Lonchura striata: one gene and its partners. The protein of the gene in region 3 purifies or fractionates together with the protein of the main gene of each other region. This does not show direct contact. Links are inferred from orthologs where the notes say so. Each region holds a gene or a part of one and is shown on either strand. Other genes may lie near its edges.

Region 1 (7,758 bases), on a different chromosome or scaffold from region 3:
TGTTTCCCTTAAAGTTGCATTAAGAAAAAGCAAAGACAATTATATGTCCCAGCAAACCCAGTAATAAAATACAGGTTAAGTACAAATTAAAGGAGTAAGTATTTTGGTCTGCCAGAAGAGTCTGTTCCCGGAGGGGATCAATAGCAACTCTTAAGTATTTAATAGCAGTCAAAGGAAGATTACTAAAGAATGTGTTCAAGCTTGATGTGTTCAAAGGCAATGACTGTCTCCAGGCAGAAGGTGACTCAAGTGCAACTGTTTTCAAACTGAAGCTGAGACAGTACAGCTTTGAGTATTTTAAATTTTCCAAAGGATATAATCTAGATATCAGATCATGATTTATCATGTCATCATTCTAAATACTTCATTTCTCTCTGGTGGAACTTGACAAAATAAGAAGATGTAGATCAATGCCAATGAAAGCACTGTTGCCTCCTGATGTCCAAAGATGAGTAGAGAAAAGTGGAGGCAGGATCTCTATGTCAAACTCTTTATCGCAGTACAGGGAGCAAACCAAGTGTATTTAATTGCTGACAGTTGAGAATCAGGTATATTCGATTTAGAAAACAAATACTTTGTGAAGAGCCAGTAACTTTGACTACATAGAGACAATCTGCGCAATCAGCAGGCCAGTCTGTGTACCAGTTCCTCAAGAGAGGCACAGTACCTAATGGCAATTATATAGCTCTGCTGTGCTCATTCGTTCTCCACTCTAATCTTAACTTACATTGTTTTACTTTTAGAGGCTTAAGTTAGATAAAGTTTACTCCAGAAGGGTACTTCTAACATGAACTTTTAAATACCCAAATCAGAAAAGAGTCAAAAAGGATGTTTAGTAGAAAATATCAGACATTTAACACAAATTAAACTGTTTTGAAAGACACTGAAACATTTCCAATCTTTAACAGTCCTTTACATGAAACTAAATTTCATTTTAGCATATCTCCATGGGTATACAACTTTAAAACACCTCTGCATTTTATCTACTTGTTAGTGCAAACGAAGTATGTTACCTAGGTTTTAACCCTTTTCAAAAGCAGATATGACAGCTTTAACTACATTACCATTATTGGAGCTCTGCACCAGTCTTAGGCTCAGCCACAGAAAGGAAATCAGTCAGTACACTGGAAGGCTGGGATATACTTCTCCATAACAGCAAATACACTACTCCAAAATAATAACTCCTCTTCAGGGGGAAATGAGAGCTAAGCTACCTTAGCTGGTCTGGCAGAAGTAATCTCAGCAAAGCTTAGGCAGTCCATTCTCTCCTTCCTCCCCATGGAGGCAGATATTTAATTCCCCTCATCTTGAGCGTGCTATAATATAAGCAAGCGTGGATGACAGATCAGCTCACACTAGGCATGAACATACCTAACCTTTCCCTGTTTAGAGCTCTGATGGATTCAGGCCAGTTACTGAGAAAGCAGCAACAAAGCCAGTAACCAATACGGAGGGATGAGACAAGGACAAAATGAATGAGGAGCAGCAGGAAGGGCCTCACTGGATGAGAAGAGGAAAAAGAAATGCACCACGCCCCCTCCTTACCCTGAGAAGCTACTGCTAAACAGAAGGATGGGCCATTTTTAGTTACTTTCTAACGTTTACTAATGTTAGCCAGAAGTGTTGGAAGTTATCATACTCCTTACATGCAAGGTTTTCTGTAAGAAAGACTCGCTGATGCAGTCTTAAATAAAAATTAAAGATTGCTTTACACTGCGAATGTCATCTTAAAGACATTGCTGCTGCTAAGCCTGACCTGCATAAAATTGTCTCCACCCAAACAATAGCAGCAGAACTGTGAATTCTGCCAAAATACAGAATGTGCTTTCAGAGCACTAAAATTCCAGTCTACTGATTACGGAGTAAAGTGATAAAATCAACAGAACCATGGAAAACACTCTCAGGTGAAGTCAAAGTAATCCGACACATATTTAGGTTTTCACTCCAGCGAATCCTAAGCCGATTTCAATTCTAGCCTGATTTCAGAGCTCCCTCCCCCTTCCTTTCCTATTACAGAAACTTAAATACGAGATTTGGGATTTCCTCTTTCAGTTGCGAGTAGAAATGAAGATGTGTCCGATAATGACACGCAGATTCGAAGACCTCTGGAACATCTCTGGGGACTAAGCTCCCAATAACCCTGAAACTCTCAAATTCGGGGGAGTAAGCTACTACCCCATTAGTCTTACCGAGTACCGCACTCCTTCCCCATTTAGACGCAGATGCCCAGGAAACCATTACTGACGTGCCTACCAGCATTTGAAAATAAAGTATAAAAACTGAAAAGAAGAAAGGGGTTGATACAAGAAACAAAACGGGCCAGCGCAGCACACCGCAATCAGGCTCACCAGAGCGTGGGAGCGGTCCCCGGCACGGCAGGGGCCTCCGTGCGCGGCAGCGGCACCGCGGGCCGAGGGCAGGGCAGCCCCGAGCTCCGGCGGAAGGGCCGCCACCGCCCCGGGGGGGCGGCACAAAAGGCGGCCGGCACCATTGTCCGGGGCCCCATCCGAGCGCCGGGCGGGGGAAGGCGGCGAGACGCGGAGGCCAGCGGCGTGGAGCGGGGAGCGCGGCGGGAAGAGACGGCGCCGCATCCCGCCGGCCCTGCCCGGGGCCCGCGGGCGGCCCGGCCGCGCCAACCCTTCCCCCGCCGCCGCCTCCGCCCCCCGCCGGCCGCGCCCGCCCGCATGACGGCGAAGAAAAACCCCCCCAGGCGTTCCCCCCGCCGCCTCCTCCCGCCGCGAGCGCGGCCCAGCCCGGCCCGGCCCCTCCTCCGCCGGCCGCTGGCGGAGGCCGGGCCCGGCCGGGGCCCCGCCGGCCCCACACGCACCTCCGCGTCGCGGCCCTTGTTCTTGAAGCTCTTGATGCGGTGGCTCTCCAGGCCGGTGGCGGCGGCGTTCTCGGCCATGGCGGCTCCTGCGAGGCGGCTCCGGCGGCTCCCGGCGGCGGCTCGCGCGAGGGGCGGAGGGAAGCGGGACGCGCTCCGTGACGAGCGCCAAGGGGGAAACGGGCGGGGAGGGGGGGGGCCGCTGGCGCGCGCGCGCCGTTGCTGAGTGACTGGGAGAGGGGCGGGGGGGCGGGGAACGGGCGGTGCGAGCGCACGTGACGCGAAGGGCGGGCGGACGCTGTCCAATCGCGGCGCGGCGGCGCGGCTCTGGTCCCGCCCCCGCCCCGCGCGGCATTCTGGGGCGGGTAGTGCCAGCAGGCTGCGGCTCCGCACGTGGAGCGGCGGACCGGCCGCGGGGCTCCAGCTCGACGCCGGCGGGAGAGCCGAGGGCCTAACGATACTGTGCACACAGAATCGCAGAACAGGTCAGGTTGGAAGGCACTACAGTGGGATATCTGGTCCGATCTCCCTGCTCAAGCAGGGCGAGCTGACAGCGCATGGCGCAGGATCGTGTCCAAATGGTTCTTGATATCTCCAGTAAAGGAGACTCCACAGTCTTCTCTCCAGGTAAATGTTCCAATGTATGGTCACTCACACAGTAAAGAAGTTTTTTGTCATGTTCAGGTGGAGCTTCCTGTGCATCAGTTTCTGCCCATTGCCTCTTGTCCTATTGCTCAGCACCACCAAGCAGATCCATGCTCTTGGCACCCTCTCTTCACTCACTCATAGACACTGATGAGATGTCTCAGTCATCTCTTCTCAAGGCTGAACAGGGCCAGCTCCCTCAGCCTTTCAACACAAAAGAGATGCTCCAATCCCTTATTAATCTCTGTAGCTCTTCACTGGACCTGCTCCAGGAGCTCCGTGTGTCTCTTGTGCTGAGGAGCCCAGAACTGGACACAGCACCCCAGCAGGTGCCTCAGCAGGGCTGAGTAGAAGGGCAGGATCACCTCCTTTGTCCTGCTGGCAATGCTCTTCCTAATGCATTGCAGGATCCCACTGGTCTTGTTAGCTGTGGGATTTTCCCCACAATGCACCCTGGAGTGACCCCACTGGCAAGGCTCATGCACAAAGTGGCCTCAGGCAGCTCTGCCAGCCAAGGCTGTGTTGTGGGTCTGCTCTGCACCTCCCTCTGCTCCTCATGACTGCAGTAACATTGCTGCATGCAGCCTGGGAAATGCTGCACAGCAAGCATCTAAGAAATCCAGGTGTTTTGGAAGCTTTGAGTCCCCATTGGTGAGTCTGCCATGAAAGCAAGCCCTGCCTGGGAAAAACAAATCCAGCACTTTGCCAACGTACCCTTCATGCCACACTTCTATGTGGTAGCTGGAGCTACATACCAGCTTCAATGCAGAATACAAAGGGGCTCTGCCAGCCCAACAAATTGTCCCCAACCTGTCAAAATTATTGCAGCACGACTCCCTCTGGGAGCATTTGGACAGACTGCAGACAGACCCAGCACCTCCAGATTGATGGTAGCCTGTCCCTGGGGTCCCCTGTCGGGCGGCTCTCCAGTGGTGGAGATCCCGGGGAGCAGGGACGATGGAATAAAGAAATCTCCAGCCGAAGGCGGGTTGGCTTCGAAGCAGCTTTAATCTCTGAGGGCTAAGTGTCAGGGACTGAGCGAAGGGGTACAGGTAGACAGCCTCACAGAAAGGGAGCTGGCTCCGAGAGCCTCGAACAGGGGGCGGGGTAGAGATTATGTTAGGGAGCAAGTAGGAGGGACATGGTACAAAGGATCCAATAGGAATAGGGCTAGGAGGAGGAGTTGGGATGAGATAATGGGGATGCAACAAATGGGAATAAGGGAAGGGGGTGGTAACAGGGGAAGAACCAATTGTAGACAAAGAACTTAAGAACATTCCAGAATAAAGGGTAAGTACAAAAGTGATTGACATAAAGGTGGGCATAACTGAAGGTTACATAACAAGAGGGGAGTGGTAGGTTTGATGGGCAGCTCGGAGGCGGGGATCTACACAACAGCCTCCTCCCAAGGCATATTCGGGGGGGCTTTCCCCAAGTCCCCTACCACATCTCCCCCTTCTTTATTAATTAAATAAACATTCCCTAAGGTCTTAATTAACATCCTCTTAAAAATTGCTAGGGCAACTAAAATGATAAGGACAATAACTAAAATCCATAAAAGTCCTCGGAGGATAGAGGCTGCCCATCCCGGGACGCCCCATTGAGAAAGCAACTTGGTGGCAGGGTCCACAGCCGAGGTTTCAGTTTGTAGATGTTGGACTTGTGTCTGGATACGCTGGATGCTGGCTTGGATGGATTTGCTTCTCGATGTTAGGTTGAAGCAGCACAGTCCTTCAAAGTCCTCGCAGCTGTGGCCATGGGCTAACAGCAAAAAGTCTATCGCCGCCCGATTTTGGAGGGTGGCCTGCCTGGTGGTCTGTTCGTCCGCCAAGAGGTCGGAGAGGGCGGCGGACGATGCGTTGGCATGCTTTGCTATCCAGCACTCCAGGTGAGAAAGCTCACCGAGGGCTTTAGCGACCGCATACCATGGGAGAAAGATGGAAGCGGCAACCCTCTTTGTTTTTCCCCAATTATAAATTTTGTCATCGCAATTTTGGTCGAATTGGTCATAGGATCTTTTTTGTCTGGCCAATTGTCTCTCTTTCTTCCAATCCATAATTTGGGTTTTGTTTGGAGTGAGGGTAGTAAGCTTGCCAAGGCTACATGGTCCTCCCTGGAGCCGAGATGGGATGCCTGACCATACTCTGTCCCCACAGACAAGAAACATCCCCCGGGGTAACGACTTGGGACGACTGGAGGAGACAGAAATAATTGGACTTGTGTAGTTACACCAAGTAGCCGAATTATATTTTTTGTTCAATGGTGTAACGTCTTTTCTATATGTGTTTTTGGCCAAGTCAATTCCATGCCAATTCTGACTTGGCCTCTTAAAATAAAACTTTACACAATAGGTGGCAGGAGAGGACCCTAACAGATCCAATTCTTGGGGCTCCTCTTTCGAATTTGGTAGTATTTTCGTCCACGCGTCCCAAGTGTCGACCGGGTTAGGTCTCCTGCCCGTGGTTCGGAGCAGGTCAGAGTTGGAAACCGGCCAATCATCGGCTACCAGAGGGACCCCCACCAGGCATGTGGACAACGGGTTGTCCACATTGCCCATGGCCAAGCAAAAGTTCTCTTGCTGGAGGGACTTTGCCAGCGTTACCCAGACGTTCTCCTTCGGCTGTGGCACAATCCAGCCGTCCGCCGCCTGCAGCCACATGATGGTAAGGAGCGTGAGGCTTGCGGCCAGCCGGATACGTCGGGGCGTCCACTCTCGTAGGTCGTTGGTGGATGTCTTTTAGGCAGCCATCTCTAGTGAACTAAAGTGCAAAGAGAAAATATTCAGGAAAAATATGGTATTCTTCCCCAACTCCCCTAACTCCCCCTTTTCATTTTTAAGTAAAAAATTAGATATTTAAGTGGGGTAGGAGCGACGGGTGAGGTAAGAGGGAAGAGGAAAAGGGATAGAGGGAGACGGGGTGTTAGGGAGGTCGTCAGCTGAAGGTGGTGCATAAAGCCGGGTGATGAGTGTTCTGCAAACGATGTTAGGGTACTGTTTTGTCGTCTTTCGTTTCCTCCTCTTCCAAGCGGCCGCGGTGTCTGGCGGCACCGGAGTGGGTGCTGTTGAAGTGTGCATTGGTGTGGGGTCCAGATCGTTGGAGCTTTCTAGGAATGGTTTTACACATCTCGCTGGAATCCATTTCGGGCCCTGTCCTGTGGAAATACAAGCATACCCTCGCCCCCAAGTGATGAGCGGGTATGGGCCGCTCACCTGCTTGGACTCCGGATCTCTCACGAGTACCGGTGGGCGTTCTTTCAGCTGGGCTCTTGTGTTATTATAGAAATGTCGGAGGACTGGTGGATTTGGTTCTTTTTCTGAGCAATTTAGGAAGTTTAAAACATAAAGTGCTTTACAGACCCTCTCTATTGGGGTCATTGCGAGTGCTGAGTCTTGTTGCTGTTCTAGCAACTGTTTTATATTTTTGTGAGTCCTCTCGATAATAGCTTGGCCCGTGGGATTGTGAGGAATGCCGGTAGTATGGGCAATCCCCCATTGTTGTAGGAATTGTTCAAAACGGGCAGATGTGAACCCAGGCCCATTATCTGTCTTAATAGCTTTTGGGACCCCTAGAGTCGCGAATGCCATATATAGATGTTTGATTGAATCTTTGGTCTTCTCTCCCGTATGGAGAGAAGCAAAAACAGCACCTGAGAAGGTGTCTACTGACACGTGAATATATTTCAGCCTGCCAAAAGGGCTGTAATGAGTGATATCCGTTTGCCACAGTTCCAGAGCCCCGAGTCCTCGGGGATTGACCCCCGTTGCCATCGATGGCAGGGCAAATGTCTGGCAACTGGAGCATGTGGTGACAATTGACCTTGCCTGTGCATGTGATATTTTAAATTGGCGAGCGAGGGCCGGCGCGTTCTGATGGAAAAACGCGTGGCTGAGCCTCGCTTGAGCAAAAGTGTCAGGTAAGTTTGTGGAAAGTGCCGGTGCAGTCAAAGTAAGGGGCATGGCAAGTTGGTCCGCTCTCCGGTTACCCTCGGCGACAGGCCCTGGCAGGTCTGTGTGGGCTCTGACGTGCATTACATGATACAGTTGCTCTCGGTGGGAGATTAGCCAAATTAAATCCAAGAGCAAGTGGAATAATTTCTTATTTGAGATATCTTTGAGTAGGGCATGTTCCGCCCTTTCTACTATCCCAGCTACATATGCTGAATCTGTTACCAAATTAAGTGGTTGTTGAAATTTTTTGAACGCTCTCACGACTGCTGCAAGTTCAGCAATCTGGGGGGAACCTTCAACTATCTGGATGTCAGACTCCCACTTCTGACTATCCGGGTCC
Region 2 (7,206 bases), on a different chromosome or scaffold from region 3:
AAGGCTGGAATTGCCCCTCCATCCACCACTGCCCTGGTTTGCTCTGACGTGCCAGAGGCGATGTTGGTGAGGGCCCAGGCAGATTCAAACTGGATGGGACTGCAGTCTGCTCTGCCCAGGAACGAGACAAACTTTGGAATCAAACCAGCCCGAATTATGTTGTCTATTGGGGGTTGCTTCTCTCTTGAGAGGAGTTTCCTATGGAGGAAGGCAAACAGGAAGCATTAATTTTGCCTGCAGACATCTGAACAACAAATTAAAGTTTTAAAAGCACCATATGAAAAGAGTTTAGCATTGTCTTAACATTCATAGAAGGCAACACAACAGCATGAAAGAGAAATGCATACAAGATGAACACTAGCTCCCTAGCCAGGCCTCTGTTAATGCTAATTTGGCATGTCTTCACTATATGAGAGGTTCTGTTCAGACTCTGAAGCAAAGCAGACCTGCAGGAGTCATTACACATCTGAGCTGCTAGAGGCTTCTCAGCAGAGAGAGGTTAGTGACTGCCAGAAGAAGCACTTGAGCAATATGCAAGCTTATTAAAGGATATTTTAGATTTGAAAAGAGAAACAAACTTGGAAAACTTCAAAACCCACTCATCCTACTGTTCACATTATTCTAAAGTGAATTGCCACACTCATACATACCAAAGTGTTAACACAGTTTAAAAGGTACCTTACTTTGCTATAATAAAGTGTTAACTATAATTACTTCTTCAAATCAAAGGTGACTACTGTTAAATTTGCCACCACTAAAGCAAATTACTTCTTCCTACTAAAATATTCAGGCACTTTAAATATTCAAAAGCCACATGATTTCAATAAAACCATGCCTAAGTTATGGGTATCTCAACATGGTATATAAGATGGTGTTTGTTGAAATACTGCCTGATAAGAAAGCCATAAGCAGCCATTTAGGCTCATAAGTCAATCCTCTCACCTTGCCTAGTTATTGGCTTGCACAGCTGAGTTGGTTTCCTCTGAACTGCTTACCTGGCAGCTTGAGTAGCCTGTAGCTGAAGCTCCATATTATTACTATTAACTCCTTTGACTATTTCTTCAACTGACCAATGTGCCAAAACCTGTACAAGAAAATGTTACATGAGTGCTTCACTGGGACAGTCATGTGTATTCCTGACCAGAGAGCTCTTACACAGTACCATGAACAGGCCCCAATTTACAGCCACTTCCACAATGAGGTATTTCAAAACCTCATCAGCTACAGCTTCACCTACAGTTATCTGAACTGCTGAAAGCTTTTTTTAACCAAGTGATTCATACCAGTTATGCTAGGTTTAAAATGTAGCTGCAGCCAGTGATGCCTTGAGAAGTCTGACTTAGAACAGAGGCTAAACAGAGTTAAAGAATAAAGCAGGTATTGATTGAAGGCCTTAATGGATACAACTTGGGCAGTACAAGAGCCTGGCCAGGGCTACACGAAAGATGAACCAAAATGGTCACAAAACGGACTATGGTCATGAGGTTTGACACTTTTATATGTTTTAGTCCATTTGCATATTGGAATTAATTGTCCAGTTATAACTTTAGGTTACAAAGCTCCATCCTGTTTATTTTTCTTTCTTCAATTCACTGTTGTTTATACTTTTTGGGCCTGGAGGTTGTAACACTTGTCCTTGGACAAGCTGGAAAGGGATTGTTTTGTCTACCTACTCTGTGAAGAGAACTTGCTAACACTTAATATGAAGCTCAGTTACACACTAAAGCAGCATAGAATCTGAAAAATATGAAAGCTAAAACTTAAGGCATCCCCAGTTGTGTGTAAGAGTGCTGTCCATTAGAGGTGATAACACAGGCCTGAGTTACTAATGCAGATGCAGTAGTGCTGTCCTGCACTCGAGAATAGATCCATGTTGGCCTGGCTGCAGCATCTCAGACAGTAAGACCCTCCAAGTGTGTCTATTCCAAGTATCCACTTACCTGGTTGCCTCTGTTTTCCTGAAGGGGAGAAGTAGCATCATCTGGTAAAGTGCTCACATTTCTTCTTTTAAGCATCTGGTCATCTTTTTTAGCTTTCCTCAGCTCCACATTGACTTCAATGCGCCGCCTTCTCATCTCCTGGAGGATACACACTCAGAATAAGTTCTGGGCTTTCAAAACTTAGATTTAAAGAGAAAATGGCTGGCTAAAGTACTAATTGCACCAGAGTACTCACTGTGCTGTCCTTTCCTTTGTTCTTGAATCTGTTTAATCGAGCTGAGGGTGTATTGGCATTCTCATTAGTAGACATCTTGCTTGTTAGATTTTTTGAGCAGGACAGATAAAAACAAGCCTGAAAACAGAGCAAAGGAAAATTTACTCCACAAAAGTTAAATTTTAAAAAATTGGACCCATACTCAAGAATGATAGGCACTTGTTAGCATTAATACTATAAAAACATCTGACTTGTTCAACAGCTGTCTCATTAAACAGCCATATGTTATAACGAACTCTAGCATCAACACAAAAGCAGAAGACACAGTCACACGATTTTGAGACACTTTAAACCAAATACTGCTAGTTATTATTTTCAGAAGCAGCATAGATTTTCATTTCTACAGACAACATACACACGCTGTTAAATACTATTTTCACTATCACGCACCTGTGCTGCACAGGAACCCACCTAGCCCCACCCCGACCTTTTTGGGAATGGGAAGAAGGCCGGGGGGCGTTTGCCGTGCGGGCGCAGCCGGCCGCACATAACAACGGCTACACGAGTAACGAAGAAAACCCTTACGGCTCAGCCACTGCCAGCATAAGAACCGTCTTGGCTTCCCTTCGGCCATAGCCCCACCGGAGAGACAACCCGCGCTGGGATACACCAGCCCTATCAGCCCCAGTGCAGACAGCGAGACGCGGGAGGCTCCGGAGAGAGGCCCCGGCAGAATTGTAGGCATAGCACGGCTCTTTCCAAAAGGGCAGCGCAGGGCCCGCATCCCCGCCGCCCCAGACCCGGTCCCCACACCTCGGCCGGAGACGCCGCCAGTCGCTCCGCTGCTGCCGCACGCTGCCACTGCCCACGGCCGCCCCACGCGGCATTTAAATTTCCCGCGGCCGCGCCCTGCCATTGGCCAGTTCGAGCCAAAGCAGCCTTCTGATTGGCCGGTTTGAAAGCAGCCCGGCTCGCCATGACGGGGAATGCCCTCCCGGAAGAGCCGGTCGGACGTGACGTCTTCACAAAGCCCGGTACTACAGCCCCCGGCGTGCCCCGCGCAGGCAGTGCCAGCAAGCCCCTGTGGGGCGGCGCGGGGCACGCCGGGAGCTGTAGTGCACGGGGCCGGGCTCGGTGATAGCCCGGGACGGGAGCGGGGATCGGAGCGAGGGGTTAATTGTGTCGTGCAGGGGCCGCGCTCTGAGCGGGTGGGGCAGAAATTCCCTCACGCAGAGCCTGAGTCTGCCTCAGAAACCAGCGCGGCAACGCGGGCTTCCCCGGGACAAGGGCGGGTAGTGACAGGACGAGGAGGTGGATGGTTTCAAACGCAACGAGAGTGGGTTTAGATGGGATATTGGGAAAAAATCCTTCCCTGTAAGGGTGGTGAAGCCCTTCTCAGGTTCCCAGAGAAGCTATGGCTGCCCCATCCCTGGAAGTGTCCAAGGCCAGGTTGAATGGGGCTCCAAGCAACTTGGGGTAATGGAGGGTGTCCCTTCCAACCCAAACCATTCAGTGATTCCATGGCTCCATGTGTCACTTATTGTCTCCAAGAAATGTGGTGCACAGAAATGCAAAGAAAAGGGGATATGAGATTGCAGCTGAAAGCAGTTCTACAGCCATCAGGGCAGATGGAAACCTAATCACACAGAATAACAAAAGCAAAGGATTCCTGCCCCTGTGGTATGGCCTGAAAAGGGATGAGATTGATTCCAATGGGTTTGGCCTGCTCATGAGGGATGGAACACAAAAGAACACTGATTTTCACAGGAGATCTTCAAACCAAAGAACTGTAGGGAAAACACAACTCTGACACTTTGAGACACCTGTAAGGTACAACACAGAGAAGTTTCAGGCATGTACATCGATATGCCTGTGTGCTAAGCCATCACATTAAACCACTTATACCAATCTCTAGGCACACATTAGGTATGGAGGATGTTTGCTGAGGAGGAATTACCAGTGACATCTCATATAGCTGGTTTTAGGCCTTACGGTGCTGAGCTTTGTAAAAAACACCTACAAAAACAAGAGCAGGTAAGCCAAGAGAAGGCACGTTGCTAACAAATGGAGATATTAAACAAAGAAAAAAGGCAGTTCAAAAGCAGAAATAGAGGTAAAACACCTGCTTTCCTGAAGGATTGGAAGGTTGGCGTGAAGAAATTCCATCGCTGGCAGTGTATGATCTGGAGCAGTTAAATCTGGGCACAGCGATCGGTGTTGAGGGCACGGAGAGGGCTGGCAGTGCCCGAGATGCCCGAGGGGGTGTGGGCTGCGAGGGGGCGACAGAGACGTCGGGGGAGACTGGGCAACTGGGGCACAACAGCGGCCAAGCTGCGGGTGAGGTTGTGGGGCTGCAGAAGGTGTGTGCAAGGCGGGCAAAAGGGCCGTGAGGGGTCACAGAGCCCTGAGGGGGAGGTGTTCCCTGAGAAGGCCGAGTGTGGAGCCGCTGGGACTGGGTAGAGTTACCGGCAGCAGCACAGGAGCCAGGACCGGGCCCGCGAGGGGAAGCTGAAAGACACGGGCCCGCGGGCAGCGGTGGGCGGGGGTCCCGGGCCAGCGGGGCGGCCCCGGGCGGGTCCCCTCAGGCGGGGACGCGCTCGCGCCGAGGGCGGGAACCCGTTCTGAGGCGCGGGCGGGGCCGCGGGCACGCGCCGCGGGGCGGGGCCTGAGGGCGCCGCGACCAATGGCGTGCGGGGGGTGGGGCCGGCCCGCCGCGAGCGGGGAACACGTGACACCCGCAGGGGGCGGGGCCGGGGCCGGCCGGGCGGGGCTCTTACCGGGCGGCGCGCGCGGTGTGTGCTGGGTGACCCAGTGGCCTAATGGATAAGGCATCAGCCTCCGGAGCTGGGGATTGTGGGTTCGAGTCCCATCTGGGTCGTGCCGCGCTCGTTTTGTGCCGCTGCCGCGGGTCGCTCCGTGCGCCCACCCCCGCCCGGGACCCCCGACTCTTTTACCGCGGCTGCCCCGGGCCCGCTCTGCCGCGCTCCGCGACCCGCGGGGGCAGCTGCGCTTCCTGCGGGCATCCCTGGGTCCCGCTCCCTCCAGAGAGCAGCAGCCGCGGGGCACCGGGCAGGGATGTGGCTTTGGTCCCGGTTTTGCCCAGCGCTGCTGGGAAAGCTTTTCCATCTCCGCTGCTCGAGCACCCCGGGGCTGCTGGAATGCCGGGAGTGCTCCAAACACCACTGCTGTGCTCTTAATGGAGATCCTGTCCAAGTAAAGTCTGGGGAAAGAGTGCAGACACAGCCGTAATGAATGAGGGTTGAATTGCACCACCAGCTAATTCAACAGAAAAATCCTTGGAATACAGGTCTGTGGCATGCTCACGTGTGTGTATATCCATCCATCCATCCATCCATCCATCCATCCATCCATCCATCCATCCATCCATCCTCCTCCCTCCCCAGTGCCAGCACTCACACTCCAGCTTCTGCTTGCTGCAGGTACCTGCTGCTCACCAAAGCAATGGAGGAGCCCTCCTCTCCTTCATCCTCAATTTACATTCCTATTCCCGTAATAGCTATCTTGGGATAGTTCTGGAATTAAAATGTTTCAAATAACAGAGGGAAACAGGGAGTAAGTGAGTGTTGCAGTAGAAACGTAACTCGTTGAGTAATAGATGTGGTGAAATGTCTTTTATTTTCCACACTATTCTGGTGAATTTTCTGTATCTTTGCCCATGGCTGCTGGAGACAAAGCCCTGAGCTTCTGGAAATCCTATTGAAATATTTAATTAAGGCAGGACAAAACAAACTGCTTGAACTAAGCAACACTGAATCCCATGCCACAGGCATGGCTGAGGGTTAGATTTTCTGTCAAGGGTGGGTTTCAGGAGCCTTTCAGTGCCTTTATGTAGTTTTAAATTGTTGGTTGTCCCTTAAAATCATGAACAGCTTCCACAGCACCCAGCAGCAGCCGGTGAGTTAAACTGTCACAATAGGAATCTTGTGTTGCAATAAGGTCACTTAGAAATAAGCCTTCTTAATTCAGTAATCCAAATCAGGGTTGGCTTGGTGTGTGAAAATTTGCAGAGTTCTTCACGATGGCAAAGAGAGATTTAAAAATAAAGCTGTGTGGGATCAGCAGAGCTTTCCCTTGGACTAGACAGTCACAACTGCATTTTTCAGCCTGAAAAGAATCACTGAAACTGGTTCCTGAAACTAAAAGAGGAGATTAGCAGTTGTATCACTGGAGGTGACCAGAAATCCCCAGATATGTTCCATTGTCATGCATATCCTTTACAGCCCCCGTGTCCCCGGGTCTGGTGTATTCCAGCAGCTCCCGGTTCCCCCCCAGAACACAGCTCTCCACAGGCAGCAAAACCAGCCTTGTTCCCGATGATTTTTCCCTACAGAATGCCACAGGAGGGCAAGACTCCCCAAAATAAAAATCTGCTGCCAGAACCACGTGTGGGTGTGTATTCCCAGGACTCAGGTGGTGCAGCCAGGGGCTTGTTCCCGATGGGAAGGAGCACATTCCTCCCAGGCAGGGCTGGTGGAGGCAGCAGCTTGGTCTTGCTCCAGTGGGTTGTCCAGCGAGTGATTCCCGTTTCCCCTCAGGCTGCCTCTCATTAGCATGGATCGGGGGAAGGGCATAAAAGACTCCAGCTCATTTTGAGTCTGGAAAAACTTTTCTTCAAAATGACAACCCAAGTGTTCTGGCTCCTCTGCTTTGTCATTAGATCATCTTCTGGTAAGTCTGTTACCTTCGGAGCGGGGCTGGGGCAGCTCTGCCTCGGGAAGCAGGGGAGGCTAAGGACTTTCCTACAAACCCTTGCTTGGGCAGCCCCCCAGCCTGCAGCCTTTTCAGCAGGTAAGGGCTCAAGAAAGAAACATTTCAACATGTTTGTGCAATGGGAATGTAGATTGCAATATTTAATTTGCCAGCATTGGGAAGAATTAAGAGCGCCTGGCAGAAGCAGGCAGGGAGCTGGTGCTCTGTCCTGCCAGCCACCAGTGGCAGGTGAAGTTGGATTTGCTTCTGCATCTGGGATTTTTATAATTTGTATGTGACCTTTCTCTTTTAGTCCCCACCACCTGTAACTCCAGATGTGTG
Region 3 (7,366 bases):
AGAAGCAGACAGCTTTTGGAAAATTAAATTAACACAAAAATTAAAGTAATTAATGTCGAAATCACCATATGAAAGACTTCTCAGCTCTCTGCCAAGGCAGCAGAGAGTGAAACGAGAGCACAGCCATCAGAGAGGAAGCCCACCTCGACAACAGGATGGCGAAATGGAAATCGTCCCCAAATTCTTGTGCAAATCAGGCTTCCTCAGCCGGAGATCAGCCTCTCCCCCGCTGTGAGCTGACGACTCGAGATAGTGAAAGGTCAGCAGTCACCTTGAAGAGATAAGCCAGGTAAAACTGCTCAGCAAGTTCAAGCTATGCTCAAGCTCTTCAGCAAGCTTTTTATATTAATAACCAGCAGGCAACGCGCTGCTCAGCTGAGGGCCGCACTGAGGAGCTTCATGAAGGTAAAATGTCATTATGGGCTATCTGTCGCGGCTGAGCAGCATGGAGGGACCACACCGACACATTAGTGTGGCCCAGGGGCAGCACAGCTTTGTTTAGAGAAGCATTTGGAGTCACTCAGCTCCGGGACTTCCTTCCCAGAAGAGAGGTTTTCATTCCAGCTAGAAAAAAAGCAGCTGCAAGCTGCACTCCAGCCTTTCCCCTCACTTTGTCCTTTAGAAATGAAGCTTTGAGGAAACTACTTCGTACTCCAAGCTCCTCCCGAGTCAGAGCAAATATCAACTATTAATATATCCATAAAAACCCAAGTAATGAATTCAGCAATCGCCAAGTGCCCGGATGTAAGGCAGACTGTATTCCTCACAGGCCAACTCTCACACTACCAGCACTACTCTGATAAACAAATTAAAATCAGAGCAAAGCAAAGGCAGAGTCAAAACTTACACTGATAAAGCAAAGGTCTCCTCAAAAAAAAAAAAAAAAATCACAGTGCCTCTGTGTGCCAGAATGAAACCAGAAAAGGAGGGACAATTAAACAGGGGGAAAGAACTTTAGGAAAGCAAAGATAATATATAATAAATAAATAAAAATAACACAGCTCCACACTCATCTATAGAAACTTCTCTAGGCTCGATAAAAATTAAAGATTTCAGTGCTAAGCTATATACAACCCCAGTTTCTATTATTATCAACATCTGGAAAACATAATAAAATTAAACTGTAATACAAGGCCTAGAGGAAACAGGGTGCAGATATAAAATATACTTTATTCTTTTAAACACGGATGCAAATGTTTATTTGCTTGGGGTATTCTAAAAATTAAAATGGGGCAATAAGGGATGAGGGAGAAAAAAGAAGAATTTAAAATACATTATGTACAGTGAAAATGTTTTTGTAGAGTTAGGGGCAGCCCTAGGTATGTACTGCAGAATAAATGTAAGTATTCAGCAAACCTGAAACTATTTAAAAAGACATATCCTGGAACAGTTTTACACCAATACAGACACAGGCAGAGCTGCAGGCTGAAGTTCCTGCCCTGCCCTGAAACATCTCTCCATGTAAAATGAGGTAACAAAGGACAGGAGATAATACACGGGGGCCAGCACAAATTTCTTAACCTAAAACCAGAAGAACTTCTGCTTTTCCTCTCCCATTTTATGCAATTAAACCAATGCATTATCTTAAACTGCAGTTTTAAGGCATTTGGTGGACTTCATGAAACCGGTGTGCCCAAAAACATAGAAGGCTTCGCTTCCACTGGACTGCGACGAGTGTTAAAGCTGTTCCCACACCTGTGTGTAAGTTGTGCCCTTCCCTCTGTCACCTCAGGAGGCGCAAATTGGATTTATTTGTGTTCAAGACCGGACGTGGGACTTAGTGCCATGGTCTGGGTGACAAGGTGGTGATCGGTCAGAAGGTTGGACTCCACCTGAGGTCGTTTCCAGCACAAGCAATTCTGTGGTTATAATTAAAATATATGCCAGCACCGGACTCCAATTAGATGGGTTCACCTGTATGACACCAAAAGGGCAGCACAACTCCTTCACCTCACAGTATCTCACCCTCAAGAAACACAACTGAATTTTAAGACCTGAGAACTTATTTCTGGCTCTTCCCTGTGGGGACAACTAAGTGATTAAGGAACTGAACAAACAGCAGAGCTGCTGGAGGGAAACAAGATGTACTTGGAAGGAGAATGGATGGTTACAAAAACCAAGCATTCTCTGGCCTTAGTAGCTGCTGCACTAGACCAAAACCACTGAAAATCTATGGGAAAAACCTCACCTTCTTTACTCTTCAAATAAGGGGCAGACCACAATGTGAAACAGATTTTTCTAGCCCTGACTTACCCTGAGAAGCCTGAGCGCCACACACTTACCACTGCACAGATAATGACCACTGCAGGTGCTACTGCTGAAGCGATTCACAGATTTTACCGACAGAACACTTAAAAAAACAAGCCACACTAAGCCTGAGGGGTCCAAAGACCCCTCAGCACGAGTCCCTTGGGCCCAACAGCAGCCGCCAAGACGCACAAGAGTCACCTGCGCATCACTTGTGGGCAAAGCCACCACAGCGCCCCGGGGCAGCGACGAGCCCTCAGGAAAGCGCCACAGGCGTGGGGAGGAGCGGGCAGCGGGCGAGGAGGATGCCCAGGGGGCGGGCAAAGGACGGGCAAGGGTTACACAGCGATGCCCTGAGGGAACCGATGCCCTGAGGGGACCGATGCCCTGAGGGGACCGACGGGACCCCCCCGCCCCGGCCGTGAGGGGAGCGAGCGGGGGCGGTGGGGGGGGAACTCCGCGCGCGGGCGGCGGGAAAGCCGCTGAGGGGGCGACAGCGCCCCCTGTCTGCGCCGCCGCCACCGCTGCACCGGCAAACCCACACCCCCTCCCCGGCCGCTGACCTGCTGCGGCCGCCGCCGCCGCGCCGACACCGCTTCGGCTCCGCCTCCGCCTCCGTCCCCGCCGGTCCCGGCGCGACGCGGTGCCCACTCCCCGCCTTTCCAAGAAGAAGGAGAGAGAAGAGGGGGGGGAAAAAAAAATAAAATAAATAAAAAAAAAAAAAGCCCCGCGGCGGCGCCCGCGCGTGCGCGGCGGCGTCGGGGGCGCGCCGGGCTCTGGGCGCACGTGACTTCCTCCTGGCGGGGCGTCGCGGGCGTCGTGACGTCAGGCGGGCGCTGCGGCGGGAAGTTCGGACGGGCGGCGGCGCCCCCGCCTCCAGCCCGGCGCCGGTGCCCGAGCCCTCGGTAGGAGCGGGGCGGCCGCCCGGCCCTCGGGAGTGCGGCGGGATCCGCTCGGGGCGGCCCCCTGGGAGGCGGCGCTGGCAAAGGGCTGTGTGGAGGCGGCGGGTCCCATTGCCCGCGGCGTTGGCTCGCTCGGGAGCTCCCTAAGGGCTCGCACGGAGCCAGCTGCTCTAATAACCTGAGGAATATCGCTGTCCTCAAAAGCGTGTGCTAGGATCTTCACCTTATGAAGCACCCAAGCAGATGGCAGCTATAAGAAACAGCGCGAATCTTTCCCCTTTCCGTCATATAAGCTGTTTCTCACCAATCTAAAGCGTGATATATATATATAAATATTAAACATAATACATTTACGTGAAATATATTAAATTAAAATTATTCATACACGTGCAGTATATTTAATTATTAATTTTAAATGTTTATAGATTAAAAATAAATATAAAAATTTATTTTGAAGTATTTTGCAGTCTCACTTCAAATATGCAAAGGGGTTTGGCTTCACGGGGAGTCAGTTATTTTTTGCATGAGCTAAACATGCATGACCAACTCCACACCTGGGACAAAATCATTCTGGTAACAGCTTTTTTTTCCCTGCAAGTAAACTTTTGGCTTTTTAATTCAAGTAATTCTGAATAAGAGTATTCAGGGTTGCTAGCCATTCATTTAAATGAATTAATCCATCTAAAAGCTGGAAAATAGCTTGACATCTATTAAAAAGACAGATTTTTTTTATTTTTTTTTTTTTGCCAGCAGTGTGTTAGATTGTTTCTGAGGTTTCTTTCTAAAATGCCCACAGCAGCAGCTCTACCACACTGATTTGATACCACTTTGCATCTAATTTTTTTTTTTTTTTTTTTTTTTTTTTTTTTTTGAGGGGGAAAAAAATAAGTAATCTTTTGTCCACACTTTTCCTTCACAGCTCTTGTGCATCCTGACCCTTTCCCTGTCTCTCAGGCTGTGGGAAGATGTGGATATTTGTGAAATAAGCTTTTGGATGACTGTGTTGCCAAAGCAATGGCCTCACAAGAATTTACGGTGAGTGATTTTTACCAATCACTTTTAAGTAGGTGTAAGTTTAGAGACTGTAGCTACTGAACTATTTGAACATTTTCTTACTTGTTGTTTTTTCAATATTTTACATATTTAAAACAGGTGTTATACACTCACCAAAAGATGAAAAAATCAAAAACATGGCAAGATGGAATTCTGAGGGTTAGAACTGGCAGAAATCAGGTGAACATTCAGATTTAAGACTTTACATCGACTGCTGCCAGTGGCAGTCTAGCTGATTGGTGAAATAAATGGTTATTTAAATTTTTTTTTTTTTTTTTTTGCAGGCTACCTTGTTTGATGATAAAGGACAATGTCTAGAGAGTATCTTTATAAGATCTCAGGTATCTTTTGTTCAGAGTTGTTATTTTTATATCTGATTGTACTTTGTCTTTCAGGCAGCATTTCAAACACGTTTGGTAGCTAAAGAGTCATTTTTCTTCTTGTTGATATGAAACTCTGCTACAATGCAAATAATGGAAGGGGAACTATTTATTAATAGATCTTACTGTTTGTCCAGAAGGCTTCATGGAATTTTTCTTCTTCTGTGGTAAAACAGTGTATTACAGTGATATATGAGATAATCATTGAATCTAAGTGCTAATGCTTTTTACAATATATGTATAAATAAAAATATTATATGGCATCTGTGGTATAATAGGTGTAAGTACCTGAATTATTTACATATAAGTACTTAAAATACTGTATTTTTTTTTTAATAAAGCTATACGATATTGTTTCTTATACAGTACTGTTATGTACACACTGCTTCTCTCTCTTTTCCAGGTGTCTCCTGGAGATGATTTCGAAAGTGATCGATATTTAATCACAGTTGAAGCAGTCAAAGGGAGTGAAAAGCCTTCTGAAGGGCAGCCAAAGCAAGCAGAAATTCCAGCAGTGGATAGAAATGGTGTAAAACCTGGTCTTCGACCGCCAAGACATCTCCCTGTTGGCTTGAAAAGGAAGTTTACGGTGTGTTTTTGTTCTAAATTTTTATGTCTCATGTTTACATGCAGTGTAAAACACAAGGAAAACATATTTTCATGAATGGTAAATATATAAATATATGCATCATTTCTTCCTGCCTTCTTTTTTTTTTTTTTTTCCTGTAATCCAGACTGTGTTTTTTCCACATTTAGGAAATTTGGTTTAGCAGGATTGGTGTTGCCTAGAGTAAAAATCACAAGGGCTCAAGGTTGTTTCTATGCACCTGTGAATTTGTTCAGAATATATTTTCAGGCCATTTGATCAGAATGTAGTCCATGAAGTGTGCCCCGTTTTCATCATGTGATTACAAAATGTGGATTAATTGAAAATTTCTCTCCCAGGGGTTCCAAGGACCACGCCAAGTTGAGAAGAAAATACCAGCTGTGGAAGATGAAGGAAAACCAACAGTGTTGCCTTCAGCTAAGGAGTGCCAAGGGAATTTTCCATCCAAGTTTTATATCAGCTCTCCGTTGTTTTCTACGATTCGCAAGAAGGATGCAGAAACAAATCTCTCTGCAGGCAGTCAGGAAGAGGGATGTAGGGACAGTGGCAGAGAGCAAATGTCTGTGTCCTCACTGCTTTCAGCTCCCTTTAGTGACAGCTGTGAGGGGACAGAGAAGCAAAACTCCCATCAGTTGGTTGTGCAGCCGGAATCGCCTCTCCTCACTGGGCACACAGGTCCCGGGGCAGTGTCCCACCACATCAGGAGCACAGCACAGATAATTGCTCTTCTGAAGTCTAAACCAGCACAAGGACACAGAGAGCAAACATCTGGAGTCACAGGCTGCCTTTCCAGGTTTCAGGCAGCAGAAAATGCAGGTTTATGTGACAAAAAATGCCCTGTCCTACCTGGTTTTTCAGGCGAACCTGCCAAAGGACTCGTTCCAGATACTCAGCACCTGCCTTTTGTGCAGGGAACTGTAAATTATACAAAGGACTGGAATGCTCAAACACTTCCAAATTCAGCTGAACAATCTCGTGGTGAAGAAGTCACAGGACAGAGACAAGACAAAAAGGTAAATAATTTAAGTCAAGATTTACAAGATCACTGCAACACAAATACTTACTTTCTACCTGAGTCCACTGTAAGTAGAATGAGTGACAGTCAGTGTGGCCCATCCTCAGGTGACATTTCACCTTCAGCAAGTCCAACTACCTTTGAAAACAATCCTTTTGCATACAGAGAGCATTCAGGGACTGACAGTCTTAGGGAGGATTTCTCTGTGAAGATGCAGAGTGAGCTTCATCCAAGACAAAATTCAGAGGGAGTGTCTAGTGACCCAGAGCTCTCTTGGGATGTGACATTGACTGAAGCTGGAATTGTGAAGGAGGAGTTCAGTTTGCAGGGCACAGGATGTAGTCCTGATGGGGAACTGATGGAGGTTAACTTTAACCTAATGGAGACTTTTGATTTTAATGACATAGACAATGAAGAGGTGTGTGAGAGAGAAGGGAAAGAATTCTCTGAGGGAGACATGCCTTCATGGAGCCCAGGTAGCTTTCAGGGAGAAGATGTAGCACAAGGTGCTGCCTTGAGCCCTCATTTGAAGCCTCATTCTTGCTGTGAAGCAGAGACACACAGCAAAAATGAAGTGAAATGTTCAAAATCTGATGGAGAGGGGAGTACACCACCCCAGCTTTGTGACAGTGATGCCAGGAGAACTGCAGAAGATGCTGCAAACCAGACCAGAACCAAAGTGGAACTTGTAGGTGATGGACATAACATAAAAGAGATCAGTGAGAGTCAATCAAGTTTTGAAGGCACAAACAAAGAGGAGGATCAGGATGGCTGTGCAGCACTCACCATTAATGGCACATGCTGGGTAAAAAACCATCACTCTGATCTCTTGCCTGGTCACACCAGTGCTCATGAATGTCACCCTGAAACCAGGCTGTTTGAGGCCACTGGAAGTCTTTCAGCTGTTTCTCCCAGCAGAATAATTTCTGCCTTGGACAAAAAGACCAAGGAAGGAGTTACAAAGCTTGGATGCATGGAATCCCCAGATATTGGCCCAGAGCACTTCTGGGCTTCTAAGAGTGATGACATGAAGCCAGACAGCCCTCTGCTGGCTTTGTCACAGAAATCAGATCCTTTAGGAACAGGTTTTTCATCTCCAGAGGAAACAGCAGTAGGAGGAACTGTGTTGGAAAATGCAGAGAGCATAACTGCTTCTCCTGAA
Region 4 (7,909 bases), on a different chromosome or scaffold from region 3:
TAAATCACAGTATCTGAGGAAACCTCAGATTGTCTACCCTTCTGATTTTCAAGGGGCTCCATTTGCCACCTTTGGTGAGGTTTTGTGGAGCTGTTGTTTGCTGAAATAACTCCTGCTTCTTTAAATGCTGCTGTAGGGATGCTGACTGTGGAAAGCTTTGTCATGTGGCACCAGCTTCTCTTTCTCGTTTCCAGCTGCTAAATTGTGCTGAAACAGCAACAGGAATAAAACCAGCTCCACTCCATTCAGTCCTTTCCATGGGGGAATTTGTGTCCAAGTTGCTGGCCCAGCTGCAGGAATGGATATGCTGTGGTTGCAAATGGGAAAGGAGAGTGGGCGTGAGGAAGGCAATAGATGCTGTTGGTTGGGAAATGTCAGTGTTACTGAGTGAGGGGAGAGAGCAGTGAAGCTCTTGGCTGTCCTGTTGCAGCCCCCTGCAAGAATTAATGGCAGATGTTACCATCCAAAACACTGTTTGGTTCAGAGTTAAGGAAATTCTCACTGCCAGGTCTCTTAACTGTGGGGAGATGTAGCTTTGGGAAAGCTGTCCCTGTGTGCAGTGTTGAGTTGGTGGTCTTCAGCTGCTCCTTGCTTAGTGAAGGTGTCACTTCATGTACCTGACTTGGGCAAAATCAGTCATTACTGTAATGCCAAAAGTGGTGTAGAAAAAGAATCACAGCTTCCAGCCCCTGGTCCTCTAGTAATGACAGCACTCAGGATCTATTTCAAATCAGGGTGTTTCTAGAAAAGCAGCAGCCTGTGGAGACTGCTCAGGCCATAACATTTTCCTGCTCCAAATTCCTGCTCCAAATTCCTGTCGGCTCCAGTGGTATTTCTATGCTACACTTGCTCCAGAATGAAACCAACTTTGGTGTATTTAAGTGTATTTTTATTCACTTGCTAGATCTGATGTAAAAAATGGGTTGTTTGGTTTGAAAATGCATAGAGGAATGGGATACCCCTTGGAAAGGGGAAAATGTTTGAAAAGATAAGGAAGTAGAACCTTAAGGGTAAGTGTGAGAGAGACAGCAAGGGAGACCAGCTGTGAGATGGTGTAGGGTGACACTGGGAAAAGTATGGAGAACTAATTACTAGGAAGCTGATAAGAAATAAAAAAATCAAGTGATATCTTGAAAGCCACGAAGAGACAGAGAATATGCATTTTGGGGTTGAAAGCAGAAAATTAGTTATTTTTGCATAGAATTAAAGAAGCTGCAGGGATGACAGTAAGACTGCAGCTGAAAAAAAGTAAAGATGAATTGGAAGAGAATTGTAAGTTGTTCTGGTGATCATTAGAGGTCTTTGGTGAAGTGAATCAGCAACAAAGTGGAAAATTCCAGTTTAAAGGACTAAAAGTCCCTATTTCTACAGGACATGTAAAAGGAAAAAAAAAAATCTTAATAAGTAAAGTAGAAGTAAGAACTCAAAAAGCAGCTCAGGTATAAAGACAGGAATTATGTGTGTGTCTGCAGGAAGGGCAACATCACCACGTAACAGGTCCTTGTGTAATGCTTATTTTGCCATGGGCAAAAAGCCTCTGGAAGTTTGTGTGTGGCTCAACAAGTGAGAGACCCACGTGAATTAAATGTTTGCTTCAGTGGTGGTTATGGGATTGTTGTGCTTTGCATCACTCCCTGTGCAGATACAAAGGGTCAAGCTGAAGAGAGCAGCGACCATCATCCCCTCATGGCTGGACACAGAACCAAAACAACCCCCTTGGATATATATTCAGGCATAGTGAGATCTGATGGTAAAGACCTTCTCAGGGAATACCAGATTGTGTGTATATATAATATTAGATTTGTTTTTCAAAGCACAAGAAGCTGAAGATGCAGCAGCAGAACATGGAGTTTTAGGGATGATTGAGTATAGTGACAGAGAAGAGCTTCCCAGTCTGGTGGTAACTAGACATGGGCGGGGCTGGAAAAAAGGCTCAAATTCTCCCTGAGCCAGGTGGACTGCAGGTCAGAAGGGCATAAAAGGCTTCCTAATATAAATGTAAAAGCTGAGGTAAAAGTGGAAAGGGAGAAAATCGACAAAAACTTGGGGTGACAACACCAGACGCAAGGCCTGAATGTATTCAGAGCTGAAGTTTGGAGCTGCAGGTCAACGTTGAAACATTGAGAATGTATCAGCAGAAGATTATTTCAGCAGTTGCACAGTTTGACGGAGGTAATAAAGGTAATAATCATGTGGCAGATAGATGTTAAGCCTCACAGAAGTGTGCTTATTAAATTCAAGTGTTCACTTTAAATAATAAACGTGGCAAAGTGGGGAAAATGTGAGTTGGTCTAGGTTAAAAAAAGTCAACAAAATAACCCTTGGAATGGAATTTCCATGGACAGATTTAAAACATAAAACTATCTAAATCAGAAACACAAGAGGTTCCATGTTTCTAGGACAAGAACAACAAGTGGTATTGCTCTGGATGCTGGGTGGAAACAGTAAAACCCTTGACTCCAAATTGTACAATGACTCCTTGGGAACAAAAGCAATGTATCTGGATGATCTGCAAGCAGCACAGCCCAAGCCCAAAGCTGTGGGGAGACTCAGGAGAGCTCTAAGGGACAGCAAGGTAGAATCAAATTAAATTCTTTTCAAGGAAAAAACAGCTGGAATCTTACTAGTCCATGGCACCTGCAGGCAGGAAAGGTATTGAGAGGGCTTAGGACTTATTAACAGTGCTTAGTACTTACTAAAAATGAGTCCTTATTAGAAATATTCCTGATGTTGATAGGGCTTGACACCATCACAAATAACTCTGGCAGCAGCTCCAAGCTGCAGTCTGATTCCCTGGCCATGGATTTCCCTGTTCCTCCTGTGCTGGCTCTGAGCTTCCCACTGCTTCATTCCTGTGGGAATAGGAAGAGGGACACAAATGACACAAACCTGCCCAAAAAGTGGAGCAGAGAAGACAGAGCAGTGGGTTGTGATCCCACAGTGTGGCTGTAAGGAATGTGAAGGGTCTGCTCTTCCCCTCTGGGATGGATTTTGAGGTAAAAACCAGAGAAGGAGATATCAACAGCTTTTCTCCTCCACTTGTAGCTCTGTGGCTCAGCCAACACAGGTGCTGGGGCACATCCTTGCAGTGGGCAAAGGGAGAGTTGCTGGTCTAATTTCATATTTTCCTTCTTGGTGTCTTAAAACTCAGTAGTGAAGGAGCACATTCCCTCTTCTCCCCCTCTGCTCCACCTTCTCCTGCCAGAGAGGCACCACAGGGGGGAAAAAAGCCAAAGAACACATTTTTCTGCAGTTGCACAGGGCTCGTTTCACACTCACAGGCAAGACAGGAATGTTCAGCAAAGTGGAGCCATCTGTCTGCACCGCTCCCAGGGCTGCTCAGCTCCACGTCAGTGATCATCTGGAGTGGAGGAGACTGAACAGGGCCAGGCTTTCCTCACAAGCCTTTAGAAGGTGGCATTCTCAGGTGTAGTAAACTTAGAGTAGTGACCTACAGGGGAAAGAGTTGGAAAAAGCTTGGACAAGAAACAGGCATTACTGCAGAAATAAGACATTTCTGTAGTGCTTTGAATGGTGTAAATGCTTCTAAATGTGCTCACAGAGGGGTTTCCCATCACAGCAGGGATAAAAATGCTCAAATAAATGGGTAAGTGCCCATATGGTCTTCAAATTGTAAAAACACAGATGGGAAGAGAGGTTGGCAGGAGACAGGTAATGATTATTTCAGAAAACAAAAATGAGAAAACTGCTCAGATGAGAGCAGATGAAATTGCTGTGGTGTACTAGGAGTCACCATCCCTGGAGCTGTCCAAAAAGTGTGGCTGTGGCACTTGAGAACGTGGTTTAGCAGTGACTTTTGCAGTGCCATGGGAAAGGCTGGACTCAATGATCTTAATGTTTTGTCCAATTTTAATGATTCTGTGATTCTAAGCATGCTTATGGCAGAAAATATGAAAAGGTAGGGAATTGAGGAATTCTACCTTAAACTTATTAAGTAGTCCGTTTGAAGGAAGGGGGGGAAAGAAAAAAACATCGAGGAGTCTAGCTAAATAAACTTGGAGCAAAAGTGTAGCAAGAGGTACACAAGAAAAGCTCGGGTTTTACCTCTCAGTGTACCTCCACAGCTGAGATTACTGTGACAGTGAAGATACAAGTGTGGGTCACACCTCAGCTCTGCTTTGCTATGATAATCCTCACCCTGAGCAGTGGAGGCACAGGTAAAAACTGCTTGAAAGAAGAGCAAAGTATCATCAGGAAAGGGATCCTTCCCACATGTGAGAACTTGTGAGCGTGTTGTGACAGAAAATTCCCAGCTTGCAGCCAGACCTTAGCACTGGGACTGGTGTAATTGCAGGAGGCAATAATTACACAGCTAATGAGGGATGGGGGTGAAGAGGCTGAGGCAAAGGGAGGGCGGTACTGGGGATACCGCAGAGGGTGAGAAGAGCTGGAGGTGACATACAGGCGGGAGTGCTCCGGACCGGGAATTCATGGGTACACACAGAATCACAGGATAGCTGGGGTTGGAAGGGACCTCTGGAGAAGATCCAGTTCAAGCCCGGGTCACCTGGAGCAGGTGATACAGGAACACGTACACTCGGTTCTGACAGGGCTGAGGAGTAGGCGGCGCAGTCGCAGCCCGGCGGGGCTGAGCTGAGGGCCCGGCGGGGCTGAGGCGGTGCCGGGGGCGCCTCCGGCCCCTCACGGACCCGCCGGGCGGGAATCGCCTCAGCGCCGTGGTGGCGGGAAGCGCGCGCAGCCCCGCTCCCCGCCCCCCGTTGCGCACGCGCAGTCTCGCGCGACGTGGAGGCGGTGGGGCCGGAGGGCGGGGGAGGCATTCGAAAAATGCCCGCGGCCTCCCATTGGCCGGCGGCGCCACCCGGCCACGCCCCCCCGCCTCGCGCCGCGGCTCCGCCCCTCCCCTCGGCCGCCCCCCCCCGGTCCCGCCGCCGCCGCCGCCATTGGAGGCGCCGCCGCTTTGTGTCCGCCGGGCCCGGTGAGTCCCGGCCCCGCCCGCCCCCGGCGCCGCGCCGGGCGGGACACGGGGCCGCGCCCGGGAGGCCGCGGGTGCTGCGCGCGAGGCGCGGGGGCGGCCTGACGGCGTCGCCGAAGGGGCGCCGGAACTGCCCTCAGCGCGTCCCCCCCCCGCCCTCCCTGCCCTGACAGGCCTGGGGGAGCGGGGCTGTCGTGACGGGGAGTCGCGACACGCTGCGTAGGCGCGGCTCGATGTCGCGGTGGGCTCGGTCTGGCACGGGCCCGAGGAGGCGGCCTCGGGTGGCGCCGGGCCCGGCGGGGCCTGGCGGGCTGCGGGCCCGCGGGCCTCACAAAGGAGCTGCGGGGCTCAAACACGCCTCAAGCACGCCTCTCCCGTCCCGCCGGCACAGGGCGAGCCCCGGGGAAGGTCAGCGGCGGAAGGGGCTGGCAGGGCCACGACACAATAAATAATGGCTATTTATAAACTTAGGGAGCGCCTTGGCTCCCGCCGCGGCCCTCCCGCCTTTGGCCGCTCGGCTGTGCGGTTGTTCGGGGTTTTGCCTGCACTAACTCGCTTCCTCAGCGCCCGGCAAGTGCCGCCGCTCGAGGGGAGCCTCAGCCTGGCTCGGTGTGTCTCCGCTTCCTAAAAGAGGTCGCTAATCGCCCTCGGCGCCGATAGCGATGGCTACAGACCTACGCGTGAGGCTCCCGGCACTTGCGAGTGCCTCCCTGCGCCCCGGTGCTCGCAGCCTGCTTAAGGAATGTTAATCGCCCTCCTCCCCATAGTGCTCAGGTTCTCTACGGAGAAAGCTGTTAAATTCCACTCTGCAGCGGGGCTGCTCCAGGCAGGCTTCCGTTCCTGTATCGCTATCCTTCTTGCCTCTCAAGGCTGTGGCGTGTTTTTGGGTAAAACATCGCATAGATTTAAGGAGTGAAGGAGCAGTTTCTGGGGTGGCTTTTGCCAGGTCAAGGGGGCCCCATCACCTTACCTGCTCCACCTGAGGACAGCTCCAGACTGGGAACACTTCAGAACAAATCCTTCTGTATTTTTACTCTTTTCCCACTAACCAATGTCTGCAAAACACTGGGGAACTGCGCAGCTTGTGCTACAGAAGAAAAGTTGGATTATGTGAGGTTGTGGGTGTGTTCTCTCCTTCATACAGTGTAGCAGGGAACGATCGCTTGGATAGTTTGTTTACAGATGTGGTATTTCTCGGATACTCGGGTATTTCTCACTTCTTAAGAGCCCTACTGAATTATTTCTGGGTTAGCGACCGTGTCACTTCCCCGTGCTTAACTAACTGTTAAGTGTTGCACTCTGATTTCCCAGCACGTGACTTTTGTTTGCTTTGACCATAAATAGTATTTTTAGCATCTTCAAGAAAGAGTTGGCCAGCAGTCTTTGGCAAGCAGCTCCCATTGAGGCGGGAGAGGTTCGGAAGTGCTTGTGTTTGTAAACAGCGTCCCTTCTCCATGAGAGCAGTGAGGGGAGAGGGAGGTGAGTTCAGTTCAGGAGGGGAGGTGTTTGATGGACTGGGCAGGAGAGCACAGACCTTCCTCAGGTGAGACTTCAAAAAATTGTTGGATAGAGTGGGAGATCTTTGGAAATCAGGAATGAGTAGAGGGGAAAAAAAACACATAATTCCTGTTGGGGGGAAGAACCTGGTATAAATACCTTGCAAAAAGGTGACTTTTTAAAGAATTCTCTTGTTTACCTGTGTGAGCTTTATAATTAATGTTCTTCTCAATTCATCATGCATGTTGGTCAGGCAGAAGGTCCTTGAATTGCTTTTTTGTCTTCAGAATATCTTTTCCTGTGGGTTTTTTTTTTTTTCCCTTTCAGCAGAAAGTGACATGTAAATCTTTTGGCAGCGTTTTGTTACAAGTGACCTGGGGTCCTCTGAGGATTTAAACTTCTGTGAGAGGGAATAAAAGTGTTACATTGATGAACTATAATGGGAAGTGTGGGTAGATTTCTTACAGACTGCAATGGAATAATGGCTTTTGTCATGTATAGTTTTGGCTGTAGAATAATAACTAATAGCTGAATAAGTAGTAGTTGGGAGGAGGGTTTATACTGTGGTTTTAAATTTATCTAGGCAAGGAGGAGATGGCCTATAAAGGGTTCAAACCCTGGTACGTAACACTTGCAGCCTAAATTTTCATTCAAGTGTCAGCAGTTTGTCAAAATTCATTAAGTTGGATCCTGAATTAAGATATTTTATCCAAGGCTATGAAAACTTTCAGCAGGGGATTTTTCATGTTGGAGTTGTTTTAACTTTGTGACCTGAGCTTGTTTTAAACTTAAAGCTGAACCCTGTGCATGCTAACAAGGGTGATTTCATCCCTCAGTGGCCATGAGGCATAGATAGAGTGTGTAGAATTTAGATCAAGGGCCATTCAAGCCAAAAACTGTTCAAAACTCCTAACTGTTCCTCAGAGCTTGTCACCATCATGATCCTGAGCATCAGTGTGGTGAAGGATTATTTTCAGACAGCCATACAGGCAGAAATTCTGCTTCATATTAGTCCCTTGGCTGAGGTTTCTGTGAGTTTTAGGTGTAATTTAAGTTGCTCACTGACTGTGGCTATTTGGGGACGTGAGGAAAAACCCCTGGGTGTAGGAATGGAAAATAATCCAAGCAACAGAAATGATCTGTTCTTACTGGCTTCTGTGCAGGTCAGAGATTGTTGGTGAGAGAATCAGAAACCTGTAGTGGTTTTCTGTTGAGCTGATGGTTTTTGTGTAGAGAACAGTGGAGGTAGGGCATGGGTGGTTACTTCATGGGAATTACATGGGGTTACTACATGGGGATTGGGCTGGCTTGGGGCTGCTGGTGTTGGACCCTAACAGAGACAAGGGCTGAGCTCAGCCCTGGGTCAGAGCATCAGTCTCACTCTAGTAATGTACCAATTTTTTTTTTTTTTTATCTTCAGTGAAAGGAGCATCTGTGTGCACAGAAGGGCAAGGTTTA

What was found.
Region 1: the proteins of LARP7 (region 3) and KPNA3 purify together in Homo sapiens (affinity purification with mass spectrometry; 3 studies listed by BioGRID and IntAct, with this or other methods). This does not show direct contact. The link is inferred for Lonchura striata from reciprocal best matches to the Homo sapiens genes LARP7 and KPNA3.
Region 2: the proteins of LARP7 (region 3) and KPNA2 purify together in Homo sapiens (affinity purification with mass spectrometry; 3 studies listed by BioGRID and IntAct, with this or other methods). This does not show direct contact. The link is inferred for Lonchura striata from reciprocal best matches to the Homo sapiens genes LARP7 and KPNA2.
Region 4: the proteins of LARP7 (region 3) and HP1BP3 purify together in Homo sapiens (affinity purification with mass spectrometry; 3 studies listed by BioGRID and IntAct, with this or other methods). This does not show direct contact. The link is inferred for Lonchura striata from reciprocal best matches to the Homo sapiens genes LARP7 and HP1BP3.

The regions. Positions count from the first base shown.
Region 1 is NC_134604.1:62,575,622-62,583,379, forward strand, and holds the start of KPNA3 (importin subunit alpha-4), read right to left. Parts: upstream 3,013-7,758; 5' UTR 2,906-3,012; coding exon 2,828-2,905; intron 1-2,827. UniProt on the Homo sapiens protein: Functions in nuclear protein import as an adapter protein for nuclear receptor KPNB1. Binds specifically and directly to substrates containing either a simple or bipartite NLS motif.
Region 2 is NC_134621.1:8,515,723-8,522,928, forward strand, and holds the start of KPNA2 (importin subunit alpha-1), read right to left. Parts: upstream 3,016-7,206; 5' UTR 2,968-3,015; intron 2,293-2,967; 5' UTR 2,251-2,292; coding exon 2,176-2,250; intron 2,079-2,175; coding exon 1,941-2,078; intron 1,085-1,940; coding exon 996-1,084; intron 199-995; coding exon 1-198. Other genes in the region: C19H17orf58 (UPF0450 protein C17orf58 homolog), read left to right, coding at 3,141-3,465, 4,291-4,514, 6,726-6,843.
Region 3 is NC_134606.1:71,927,892-71,935,257, forward strand, and holds the start of LARP7 (la-related protein 7), read right to left. Parts: upstream 3,013-7,366; 5' UTR 2,811-3,012; intron 272-2,810; exon of another isoform or gene 144-271; intron 1-143. Other genes in the region: 5'-3' DNA helicase ZGRF1, read left to right, coding at 4,164-4,184, 4,302-4,382, 4,487-4,543, 4,986-5,171, 5,528-7,366. UniProt on the Homo sapiens protein: RNA-binding protein that specifically binds distinct small nuclear RNA (snRNAs) and regulates their processing and function.
Region 4 is NC_134626.1:6,311,962-6,319,870, forward strand, and holds the start of HP1BP3 (heterochromatin protein 1-binding protein 3), read left to right. Parts: upstream 1-4,894; 5' UTR 4,895-4,957; intron 4,958-7,909. UniProt on the Homo sapiens protein: Component of heterochromatin that maintains heterochromatin integrity during G1/S progression and regulates the duration of G1 phase to critically influence cell proliferative capacity.